3 linked regions of the Ovis aries genome follow. The protein of the gene in region 3 interacts with the protein of the main gene of each other region in a biochemical or structural test. Links are inferred from orthologs where the notes say so. Each region holds a gene or a part of one and is shown on either strand. Other genes may lie near its edges.

Region 1 (3,692 bases), on a different chromosome or scaffold from region 3:
GACCGACGAGGTAGTTTGGAGAAGAGCCAGGGTGACAAGCGAGACCGTAAAAACTCCGCATCAGCTGAACGGGATAAGAAGCACCGGACAACTGCTTCCACGGAGGGTAAAAGCCCTCTGAAAAAAGAAGATCGGCCTGATGGGAGTGCATCCAGCACCAGCACTGCTTCATCGAAGCTGAAGTCCCCTTCCCAGAAACAGGATGGGGGGACCGCCCCTGCAGCAGCAGCATCTCCCAAACTCTGTTTGGCCTGGCAGGGCATGCTCCTGTTGAAGAACAGCAACTTTCCTTCCAACATGCATCTGTTGCAGGGTGACCTCCAGGTGGCTAGTAGTCTTCTTGTGGAGGGCTCAACTGGAGGCAAAGTGGCCCAGCTCAAGATCACTCAGCGTCTTCGTTTGGACCAGCCCAAGTTGGATGAAGTAACGCGACGCATCAAAGTGGCAGGGCCCAATGGTTATGCTATTCTTCTGGCTGTGCCTGGAAGTTCTGATAGCAGGTCTTCTTCTTCCTCAGCCACATCAGACACTGCCACCTCTACTCAGAGGCCACTTAGGAACCTCGTGTCCTACTTAAAGCAAAAGCAGGCCGCTGGGGTGATCAGCCTCCCTGTGGGGGGCAACAAAGACAAGGAAAACACCGGAGTCCTTCATGCCTTTCCACCCTGTGAGTTCTCCCAGCAGTTCCTGGATTCCCCTGCCAAGGCACTGGCCAAATCTGAAGAAGATTACCTGGTCATGATCATTGTCCGTGGTGCGTCTTAAAGTCCATGTGTAACTTGTATTTAGTACTTTGACATGGTTCCTGTTTTGTGATGTGTAATGGGATACAGCATCGGATGAAATTTTCTTTTTAATTAGTTGTTTAGTTTTAGGTTTTTTCTTTTTTATATTTTTATAAACCTCTTTAAAAAACAGAAGTCAGGAGAGTTTAGCTATTATTTTAAGTGAAAGGACTCCCCTAAAGGTAGCAGGCAAGTGGTTTACTTTAATTAGGAGTTTCCACTCTTATGTGTAACTGTTTTCCTCTTTTTCTGCGAATTTTTTTTCTTTTTTAATCTTGAACTTAAAAAAATCCTCAAAGTTACAAAACCAGAAATTTGAAAAGTTAGAATTTGAAAAACAAAGAGCCCACTAGCTGTAAAAAGATAATACACACCTAAAAATGACTTTGATTGGTAGGTCGGTAAATAATTCCTGTACCAGAAATATTATTTGTGCGGCTGAAATTTGAGCAGGGATCTCAAGGAGTATATATAAGCTGGTAAAGGATACATAAAATGTTGCAATTACTTTAATCAAGTATTTGAGTATTTTTCTTAAATGGTGTGTTCCCAAGAGCTTGCTTTAACATATATGTTTTTACCATTAGTTTTTGAGTTCTGTATCCCATATATGCACTTTTGGTTTGTAGCTGTTCAGTAAAAATAGAGGAGTGTGTTACAAACCACGTTGTCTTTTGCTTACACTAGTATGCAGGAAGTGAGTAGGTGCTTTTAAAATCACAATTCTTTGGTCAGTTATTGGTGTGTGGTGGTGTTTTCACTGACTTTCAGAGGGGTATAGCAGGTACAGTTCTAATTGTTGCAAATTTCAAAACTTGTGTTTTTCATCAGAGGTGAGTTTTTATTTTTGTATTCACCCAAATTTCTGACTTCAGTAATAGAAAGAAGAGTTGTCTGCAGGCTCATAAGTCATCCTTTTATTTCAGTGGGCATTAATCACCCATATCTGGATTGCAGAATTTTTTTTAAGTCATTGTGAAATACTTTTGACATACTCTAAAAATTTTGCTTGGATTTTTATTTTCATATTTAAACAGCGATGACTTCACATTATTGAAAGTATTTTGAGTATCTTTGAAATTTTGTGTTTATATTTTCGCTGGTGTCCAGCCACAGAGAATTGAAATAATCAGTTTAGGAAAACCGTTTTTTAGTGGTTTATTTTCTCAGAGACCTGAAATTAGTATAAAATAATTTAGCCCACTTCCACATTTTTTTCCAAAACTGAAGATTATCAATTTCTGATTCTTAACAAGAGCTTTTGCTGCTTAACATTAATTCATGGTTTCCTTGTCTTTTTAATTTTCCTCCTCCACCCCCAACCCCTAGTTTCTCACGTCATTTGTAAGTGTATTTTCCCCTGTGGTTTAAATGTTGAGGACTTTAGCCAAAGCCCTTGATATTTAATTATGATTAGAAACTTGAGGACCTTTGGATCATGGTCATGTTTCTATGCTATGTAAGTGACTTACTGAAAGCCTGGCAGAACTCAACTGTTTTCTTTCTGTTATCAAAGCGGATAGTTTTAAAATAGCACCAATAATAACCCAAGAAAACGTCATGTAATTTTTAATTGTCCGTTATGACAGGTGTCTAATGCATGTTAGCATGAAAGCCTCATCACTGCTGTGTCATCCTTTTTAGTTTTCACTATGCATTTATAAGTTTTCTTTGTAAGTTTGGAGACTTTTGTGTTTTTTGTTTTTAAACTGGAAAAACTAGCCATTTTGAGAGAAGGAAGATAATAGGCTATGAGCACAGAGGTCCTTGGTGTGCCTGTAGGGAAAATACCTGAAGTCCTACAATGAACACTTTTGGTCCTTTTGCTTTTAAAAAACTGCTTGACACGCTAATATGGAATAGACACCTGTTCAGAAACTTATGTCAGTGTGCAGTCTATGCATAAATAAATGGGGTCAAAGTACAATTTGTGGCTAGATACATTTTTTCCAGTTTAAATAGTCTCACTAACCATTAACTTTTGAATACCTTTTGATAAGATGGCTGGACAAATGATTTTACTTTTTTAGAGAGTGAAGTCCTTGATACCTAATTTTAACTCTAATCCAAAGTGTATGTGGCTTTCTTTTTTTTTTTTTTTTAAAGTTGATATGCCAGCTTATCGAAGAGTAGAGTACTGTGGGTTTTGCTCCATGTTTGTTTGATTCTTTATCTGACATCGTGGCTTTTGTTAGATCTGGGCAATTTGTGCTTCAGTGTTTTTGAAACAATGGCTTGATACCATTTCTAAATGTATGTATTATAACAAAATTATGTTTAGTTTGGTGCTTAGCTACAGAGTGCCATCATTTGGATGAATCTTATTTGTGTTGCTCATTCTATTGTTCAGGTTTATAACATTGGTAAACTATCTACCTAAACTTAAGAGTGGAATGAAAGCATTTGTCTAAAACAATCTGGTTCTAATTCTCGCTAGCCAGAATTTGTAATCTCAACATTGGATGTTCTTTGTGACAGCCAGTTGTTTCTTTTGCCTTTTTTTTTTTTTTTTAAATGTATTTGTTTAATTGATTTTTCTGGAACTCAAGTTCAAATGAATGGAATTTCTTAAGTATATCATTAAATGACTCATTAAGTATTACTGGTAAAAAAAGAACCATCAAGCTAATTTAGATTTTTAATCACAATTTCAAAGTTTATGAAAAATTAATCATTCAGCTCCTAGCCAATTTATTTTTAGTGTTATTTTGTTGGTTGTTACTGGAATTCCTATAAAGAGTTTTCCACGAAAAAATTTAAATTCCTGGTTTGAGATGTCTGTTTTGACTGACCCGAGAGTAAGCAGAGTTTTCCCTTTAAGGATTACATCTTAAAACGTCCGTCCTTTGGCTGATACAAGCTTTTGTCACATTTTGAAGGTAATATGTTCTGGCCCTTAGGTCAGTT
Region 2 (3,692 bases), on a different chromosome or scaffold from region 3:
GGGGCTGTGCTGCTGCTTGAAACAGGTACTGAACTTCCTAAAAAACAAAGCAAAAATACAATAATTCTAATTTACATTATGTCACGAGCTCCATGACACCACATAAGTCCAAATGAACAATTTTTATCAGTGTTTCCTATTAAGACAGAGAAAATGCCAGAAATATAAACATCACGTTGTTAAAAACGGTCCAGACATCTCAGATTTCTTTTAGTCTTATAAATGAGCAACTCACACTCACCTTGCTCACTGTTGAGTGTCCTCTTAACCCCAAGGTTGAATAGCCATGTTTTGTTTTGTTTTTTAAACTGATGCTCACAGATCAGGGCATAAAAGACTAAATTTTCCTTAATAATGTTTGTCAAATTTTGTTAAGCATCACAGATTATAAAATATAAGTTATAAATCGTAGGGAAGAGCCTAACACATAAAATACACAGTCATGGCCATATTAATTTCAAGATTCCAAAGCACAGATCTCTGACTCTGAAATGACCATTTCTGCACAGAAGTGTTGCAACTCAAGTAGACGTGACCTACTATGTTCAAGGCATTTCGGTTAAAACGCAGCCATTTAACAGACATTGATTAAGCACTGTAATGTTCTTAGGTTCTGGGAATATTAAGATGAGTAAAGTGTCGATTCTAAAGGTGCTTCTGGTCTAAAAAGGGGAAAGTAAAACAAACATAAATGCATAGTACCACCATCGCCAAGATGGAATGACAAACGATCTAAATAAGCGCACAGAGAAGACACTACTACGAGACAGGAGGATTCACAGAGGTCCTATTTACACTTTTAAGCAGACGTAGCAATTTCGTGAGGAGAGGCAGCAGCATAGGAGGGACGGCTCAGTAAGGCGCAGCTGCGTGAAGAAATGCAGGGTTGCAAGTAAAGCCATTCGCTCTGGAAGCCCCACTTCTCTCAACGTCCTCCGGCTGTTGTCACTTCTCCCAGTTACCTGCTCTGTGGTTTTTATCGTTATGTTCTCTTCCACTTTGCCAATAAAATCCTACCGTCTTTGGTCCACTGCCCTCTCACAAGGTCTCATCTACCCTGATGATTTTAATCACCAACAAAATCTTTCCCATTAGCACCCAAGACCCATACTTCCGGGCGTCAGTGCTGTACTACCTCTTTGATGGGCGTTCCACTACGCACCTGGCTGGCCTGGGGAGAAGACAACTCCTCCTGATGTATCTCTGCAATCTGTTTCATTCCTTCCTCGGACCCTTCTGCTGCTCTTCTAGTGGACAGCCTTATTGAGACTTCTGGTTTGGTTCCCTTGAAACCCATCCTCGTAAGAAGCAACCAGTATTACATGGTTCTTGTTTGGTTCTTGTCTTTCCTCTCAATTAACTGTTTCAAAGTTCTATTCTTGCTACTCTCTTAAGCTAAGCAGAATTCAGTTTTAGGCTATCCTCTCTGTTTGCTCCACTCACTCACCTTACATCACCTCTTCTCTCATCATTTATTTGAAAATTATGAGTGAATGATTCCCAAATCTGTGTCTCCAGTCCAGAGTGTCTATAATCAGTTTTATATCTTAAAAAGTCTTCTCACACATATCTGTCAACTTCAGCAGCTTGAACTTAATGTATCTTCAACTCAATACATTATTCTATCCCCCTCCATTTGATTTCATTAGTACATATCACCACTATCTCTATCCATATTATTGATCAACTTCCTAATCTGTGCTCTGGTCTCCAAATTTTGTTGCCTTCAAATCCATCCTCCAAAAAGCCACCAGATGATTGAACAAAAGTACAAGTTTGACCCATCAACTCAATTAATTTTGCTCTCAGACATCCATCAACAGCTTTTTTTGTTAAAGGGACAATGAGGATGACAGATGGGAAGAGAAAGATATTTCAGAATAAAGACTCTGAAATCTTACTCCTGTAGAGATGTCTAGCAGGAATCAAGAAATACAGCACACCCCTTGTGTTAGGATAGGGTTCTAGGCTATGAAGAGCTTTTCACTGTAGACACAAAACCACGCATCCATCAATAATGCAATAAGAATAGGAAGTATAATTCCCAGGACACTTATAACATGTTTTATTTAGTATCTATGTTACCATGTATCTGTACCAAAGAATTATATAATAGCATTACAAAAACATCAAAGAGTCAAATGAATTAATTCCAAATGAATTAAAGATCAGTGTAAATCTTCAGTAACTCTTTCAAAATTGAACAGAGAAACAGGAAAAATTCAACTCTAGCTCCATTTTTCTGTCTGCCCAATAGTACTTTTTCATTAACGATTTAATAATTTATGATCATTGCAGGGTCTCTGGCAGATAGCACATACAGGTATAGGTATCATCATTAGTGCTCAGCCACACTCTTCTGATAACACAATACTGTCTACTCCTTAATGAAACTAGCTGTGGAAATGACCGCTAGCCATCCTCACTTCCTCTTTGAGAAAAAGAGACAGAGTAGTATTTTATTCTGTGTAAAGGTCTGAGAAAGAGTGCTCCGTTCTAAGACCTTTGCATCTGTATCAGCCAACTTTGAATAGATCACGAAGAGCCAGAAGTTTCTAATAAAAGTGCACACAAAGAAGAGGTCAAAGCAAATGCTGGACTGATTAACACACAACCTAGGTTAAGAGAACGTGCAGTGTCAGTTCCAGGCAAGTCATTTTCATCTCAAGACAGTTTGGAAAATTATTGACACAGGAGGAAATGCTTGTCCTGAAACATCTAAAATACTGAGGTTTGTTCTTCGCTGGTTTACAGAGAATAGAATTAAAATGTTCTATTAAAGTAATGAACAAAATTATTCCAAACAGCCATAAACGTACCTGGTTTCTCAGACATACAGGACACACACTTATTGTCTTCTGCATTATTAGAAACACAGCACACTGGACACTCCCAAGATCCCACGGGCCTTTTGAATTTATCTGCAAATCCTAAGGCACCAGTGGTCACAGTGCAGCTGGAGGAGGAAGCAGCCACAGTTACAGCGCTTTCTGAAGCCGCTGGCAACGTAAGGACTCGCTTAACACCAGTTCCCGGTTTCGGTGTTTCACAAGCTACACATTTTATCGCTTCAGGTTTATTCTGCACTAAACAGGTATCACAATCCCAAGTTCCTACTGCTGGTTTAAATTTGTCTCCGAAGCCTGTCGTCCCTGGTGTGGAAACAGTCAGTTTGCCGCTTTTACTTGGTGTCCCGGTTGCAGTCTGTTTAGCAGAATCTTTTGGTAGCAATTTTGTTGTTTGGCAGGCTACGCATTTGTTGTCTGTGACTTTGTTCTGGAGTAGACAAGTATCACACTGCCATGACGACCCAGCTTTTAAACCTTCCCCAAACCCAGTTCCACTAGAAGAAAAGCTGCTTATTGCTGGTCTTGTGTGAACTACCGGGCTTGTGGTGGCAGGTTGAGCAGCAAGAGAATCTGCCTTCGGTGATGCAAAACCTACAACCGGGGGGAAGAGGTGGGTGGGAGGGGAAAAATTAGTTAATGTTTTGATTAGAATGTCTCCCTGTTTACTGTTAATAAATATTAATAACATTAATTAATATTGGGCTGGACAAAAAGTTCATTTGGGTTTTTTCCGTAAGATCTTACAGAAAAACCCAAAACAAACTTTTCAGCCAACCCAATAATGTGATATGCTTATAGCTGTTAGTAATATTATTCCTGGGAGAAAACATTTTTTACCTTAAT
Region 3 (4,345 bases):
TACTCGTCCATCCCAAACTCCCAATCTGTCCCTTCCCTACCCACCTCTCCCTGGTAACCATAAGTTCACTCTCTAAGACTACCCCTACTCAAAATTTGATCACATCTTGAAAAGTCAATCACAATGATTACATCAGCTTTCAGTAAACAATACTTCTTTTGCCTATAAAGCACAAATGTCAGTTACAACTACGACCAATTGAAAGGCTTCTTTTAAGTCTTGTTCTCACCTCAAAACACTGAAATTCGAACTACCATATGATCCTGCAAATTCACTCCAATTATATATCCAGAAAAAAGAAAAAAAGTACTAATTTAAAAAGATGCATGCCTAAATGAGGAAGTGGGGATTAACATCTGCACACTACTATTATCTGAAACAGATAATCAACAAGGACCCACTGTATATAGCACAGGGAACTCTACCCAGTACTGTAATAACCTCCCTGAGAAAATAATCTGAAAAACAACAGATACATGTATAACTGAATCACTCTGCTGTAAATCAACTATACTCCAATATAAAGATTTTTCTTTAAAGCATCAAAACTAAGAAAAAGGGAAGAATACATATGAGCTTCACTTGTTTTCAGGTCAATTAAAAAAAAAAAGATACCTGCATCTCATTGTTCACAGCAACACTGTTTACAGAGGGAAAGATATGGAAGCAATCCAAATGAACATCAAGGGACTAATGGATAAAGATGTGGTATACACACACACACAACGGAATACTACTCAGCCATAAAAAAAGAATGAAATCTTGCCACTACAACAACATGAATGGACATGGAGGTTATTATACTTAGTAAAGTAAGTCGGAAAAAGACAAATACTGTCTGATATCACATATGTAAAAACTAAAACGAATATATTTAGCAAAACAGAAACAGACTCACAGATATAGATAACAAACTCCTGGTTATCAGTGGGAGAGGGAAAGCAGGAGGGGCAAGATAAGGTTATGGGATTAAGAGATACCAACTACTAATGCCACCCCACTCCAGTACTCTTGCCTGGAAAATCCCATGGACGGAGGAGCCTGGAAGGCTGCAGTCCATGGGGTCGCTGAAGGTTGGACACGACTGAGAGATTTCACTTTCCCTTTCATGCATTGGAGAAGGAAATGGCAACCCACTCCAGTGTTCTTGCCTGGAGAATCCCAGGGACGGGGGAGCCTGGTGGGCTGCCGTCTATGGGGTCGCACAGAGTTGGACACGACTGAAGCGACTTAGCAGCAGCAGCAGCAGCAGCAACTACTAAGTATAAAATGGATAGGCAACAATAATATATTATTGCACGGGGGGTGACAGCCATTATTTTGTAATAACTTTTAATGGGGTATAATCTATCATAATACTGAATCACTATGTTCCCTTTCATGTCATACCTGAAAACTAATATTATGTTGTAAATCAACCATATTAAAAAACTGCCACTCTGAAGTGAATGTTGAAGTGACCCAAGGGTAACTGGACACAACTCATTCTCCGAAAAGTCACCTGAAATCTGCTGTCTGCCCACCCACATCAACTTAACCCCAAGTGACCTCTTTCATATCCAGGTAAACCAATCATAATGATTACATTAACTTAATCAATACTCCTTTTGCCTACTGAGTACAAACATCAACTACAAGTATGATCAATCTAATGGTTTCTTTTATAAATTTTATTCTCAAACTCTGGAGTTCCTCTCAACTGTGGTGTGTAGAAATGGCTTCTGAAAAAGAGCCCTATGAAGTGAAGTGAAGTGAAGTCGCTCAGTCATGTCCGACTCTTTGCGACCCCATGGACTATAGCCTACCAGGCTTCTCCATCCATGGGATTTTCCAGGCAAGAATACTGGAGTGGGTTGCTATTTCCTTCTCCAGGGGATCTTCCCGACCCAGGAATCGAACCCGGGTTTCCTGCATTGCAGGCAGACACTTTACCCTCTGAGCCACCAGGGAAGCCCAGTACTCTGCAAACATTGAATCTCATGAAACGACCCTAGGGAAAAAATAGACGACTAGAAGGTGCAGTTAACATTTATCAATAAGTTTATCCGATGTCAGGCGCTCGACGCACACGATCTCGTTTTAATACAAACACACACACATGGAGACAAACTCAGGAGACAGGTACTGTTTCTATCCTCCTTCAGGGGATGGAAAATCAGGCCTGAGTGTTTAACTCACATATGATCGGCATGGCCAACAACCACTACTCTGGATCTAAACCCATTGTAGTGTTCTGGCTAAAACAGTGAGTTAAAGTGTAGGTCTAGAATATTAAAGCTAAAGCTGCGGACGGCGGGGGAGGGGGCAAGACCGACTGGACGCACGGTAGAAAATAGGGCACCGGCAGCCCAAGAACAGGGTACTGACTCACATTACTATAGCCGCCAAACTGAACTGACAGGCATCCACCACCCACAAAGTTCAAAGGAATCCAGTCACCTCACCGCCGAGCCACCCGCTCCGAGCCGCAGGTGCTCACAGCGCCAGGATTCTGGGGTCAACGAGCCGGGCACTCACCCTCGAGTTCAGCCAGGGCCCGGGCTGCCTCGCCCCGGGCCCGCGCCACTCACTGCCGTTCCCCGCGGACACCCGGCCCCTCGCGGCCTCCCGCCCCGGCGCTGCGGCCTAGGCCGGCGCTGCCCAGCGGGGCTCCAGATCGCCCCTCTCCCCGGCCCAAGGACCAGCACTGACCGTTGTATGACTTCCCCTCGTCCGCCATGGCACAGCTAGAAGCAGGGGCGGGCTGCGTCGCGGGCCGCCACTTAGCCAAACGTCCGAATGCCCAGGCGCTCTAGGTCGAAGTGCTCCTACGCCGGCTACCACCGCGTTTATAAGGAGACCGTGTCGCGCGCTGTCGACGTCCCACGATCATAGGCGGAGCCGCTGGGAGATGCGCGTGCGCATTCGACCAGCAGAGACACCGGGGCGGAGCTTGAGGCCGACGCTCCGCCCAGTAGTGATTAGTTTACTGATCCCCCTGATTAGTACTCGCACCTGCCCTCTGCTTTCATCGTCGGCCGGTAAGCAGCACCTCCAAGGTTGGCACTGAAGCAGAGATGGCCACTGCACCCCAGGGTTCAAAAAGAAAAAGGGAAGGAGGGCCACAAGAAGGGCTTCTGAGGAATGGGAGACCAGTGCCTTGGAGTGACCGCTTCAAGACCCCTAGGAGGATCCAGCCTGGGCTTAAGTCTCAGCTCAGCCCTTTGCCTTCTACAGATCTATGCCTTGCTTTCCTTGCCTATAAAATGAAATAGAAAACTAGAAGGTAAGCTCCAAGAGAGCAAGGAGTTGACTAATTCATGGCTTTTTTTTTTTTCTCCCCAGCACCTGGCTCAGTACCATACCTGGCATGTACCAGGAACTCAGCAAATATTATGAAATAAATTTCCAATCTATGCAACACCCCCCCCCCCAATAGTTGTGGAGTCAAATGAGAAAAACTGCATTTGTCAGGCTTTGATCATCTTCACAGATCACCCCACCCACCATCAATGTGCTGTGCTTAAACCCACATCGTGTGTCAACTAAAGTTAAGATGCAAGCAAGAGCACCCCCTGGACACAGGTCAAACGGAGAGCAAATACTAAAAGGCCAGGGCTAAGAAAGGCCAGGGCTCTCCTAGATAACTACCGCCCCCAACCCCAAGGTACTACAGCCAGCCCAGTGTGTGACTGTTGTCACTATAGCTTGAGCTTCCTTTGGGGTGTGTGAAATTGGGGTACTCCAGTGATCTCAGAATGATGTGGTTGTGGGTCCTGGTCAGGACTGACAAGCATATTGACCTTCCAGGGTAGGGTAGGTATTCCAGGCAGATCTCTACTTCATTCTCCTGTGACTGGTTTGGATTTGGTGAGGGGCTTCAAGAGGGGACCAAGAGCCTCAGCTGGAGCTGGGAACAAATTCTTCACCTTTCACTCCTGGCAGCAGGCAGAACTCCTGCTTCATCCAGCCCAAGGAAAACGGTAGGACTGGAAGATGCAGATGAAACAGGTCCAAATACTTCTGGAGATGGTCCTAGAAGTTACCACTAATCAGAGACCCACTCTGGGATCGTATACCCTGCTTTGAAGGGAATTTTCCATGATAATTAAGTACTGCTGCACTGGGTTAGGCCTGCTGGAAGCAGCTGTGTATACAGAGCCCAAAGCCTGGCCCCTCAGGGTCATCAGTCCAGCCCTTTCAGTTGTAATACTGGGCAGCAGGCTCCCTCCATTTCTGCCTAGGCCCTTCTTCGGCGCTCCCACCCAGAAATGACGACATGGCTAGTGAGGCTGACAGTCTTGCTGTAATTGGGAGAAAACGGGCTGCAGCACGTTTGGCAGATTGAGAGTCACCTGCAGCCAAA

What was found. The genes of interacting proteins can lie anywhere in the genome.
Region 1: the proteins of NXF1 (region 3) and RBM15 form a complex in vitro, tested with the Homo sapiens proteins (2 studies listed by BioGRID). The link is inferred for Ovis aries from reciprocal best matches to the Homo sapiens genes NXF1 and RBM15.
Region 2: the proteins of NXF1 (region 3) and NUP153 form a complex in vitro, tested with the Homo sapiens proteins (2 studies listed by BioGRID and IntAct). The link is inferred for Ovis aries from reciprocal best matches to the Homo sapiens genes NXF1 and NUP153.

The regions. Positions count from the first base shown.
Region 1 is NC_056054.1:87,643,991-87,647,682, forward strand, and holds part of RBM15 (RNA-binding protein 15), read left to right. Parts: coding exon 1-754; intron 755-3,692. UniProt on the Homo sapiens protein: RNA-binding protein that acts as a key regulator of N6-methyladenosine (m6A) methylation of RNAs, thereby regulating different processes, such as hematopoietic cell homeostasis, alternative splicing of mRNAs and X chromosome inactivation mediated by Xist RNA.
Region 2 is NC_056073.1:39,060,132-39,063,823, reverse strand, and holds part of NUP153 (nuclear pore complex protein Nup153), read right to left. Parts: intron 3,441-3,692; coding exon 2,820-3,440; intron 38-2,819; coding exon 1-37. UniProt on the Homo sapiens protein: Component of the nuclear pore complex (NPC), a complex required for the trafficking across the nuclear envelope. Functions as a scaffolding element in the nuclear phase of the NPC essential for normal nucleocytoplasmic transport of proteins and mRNAs.
Region 3 is NC_056074.1:37,645,480-37,649,824, forward strand, and holds the start of NXF1 (nuclear RNA export factor 1), read right to left. Parts: upstream 2,833-4,345; 5' UTR 2,720-2,832; coding exon 2,692-2,719; intron 1-2,691.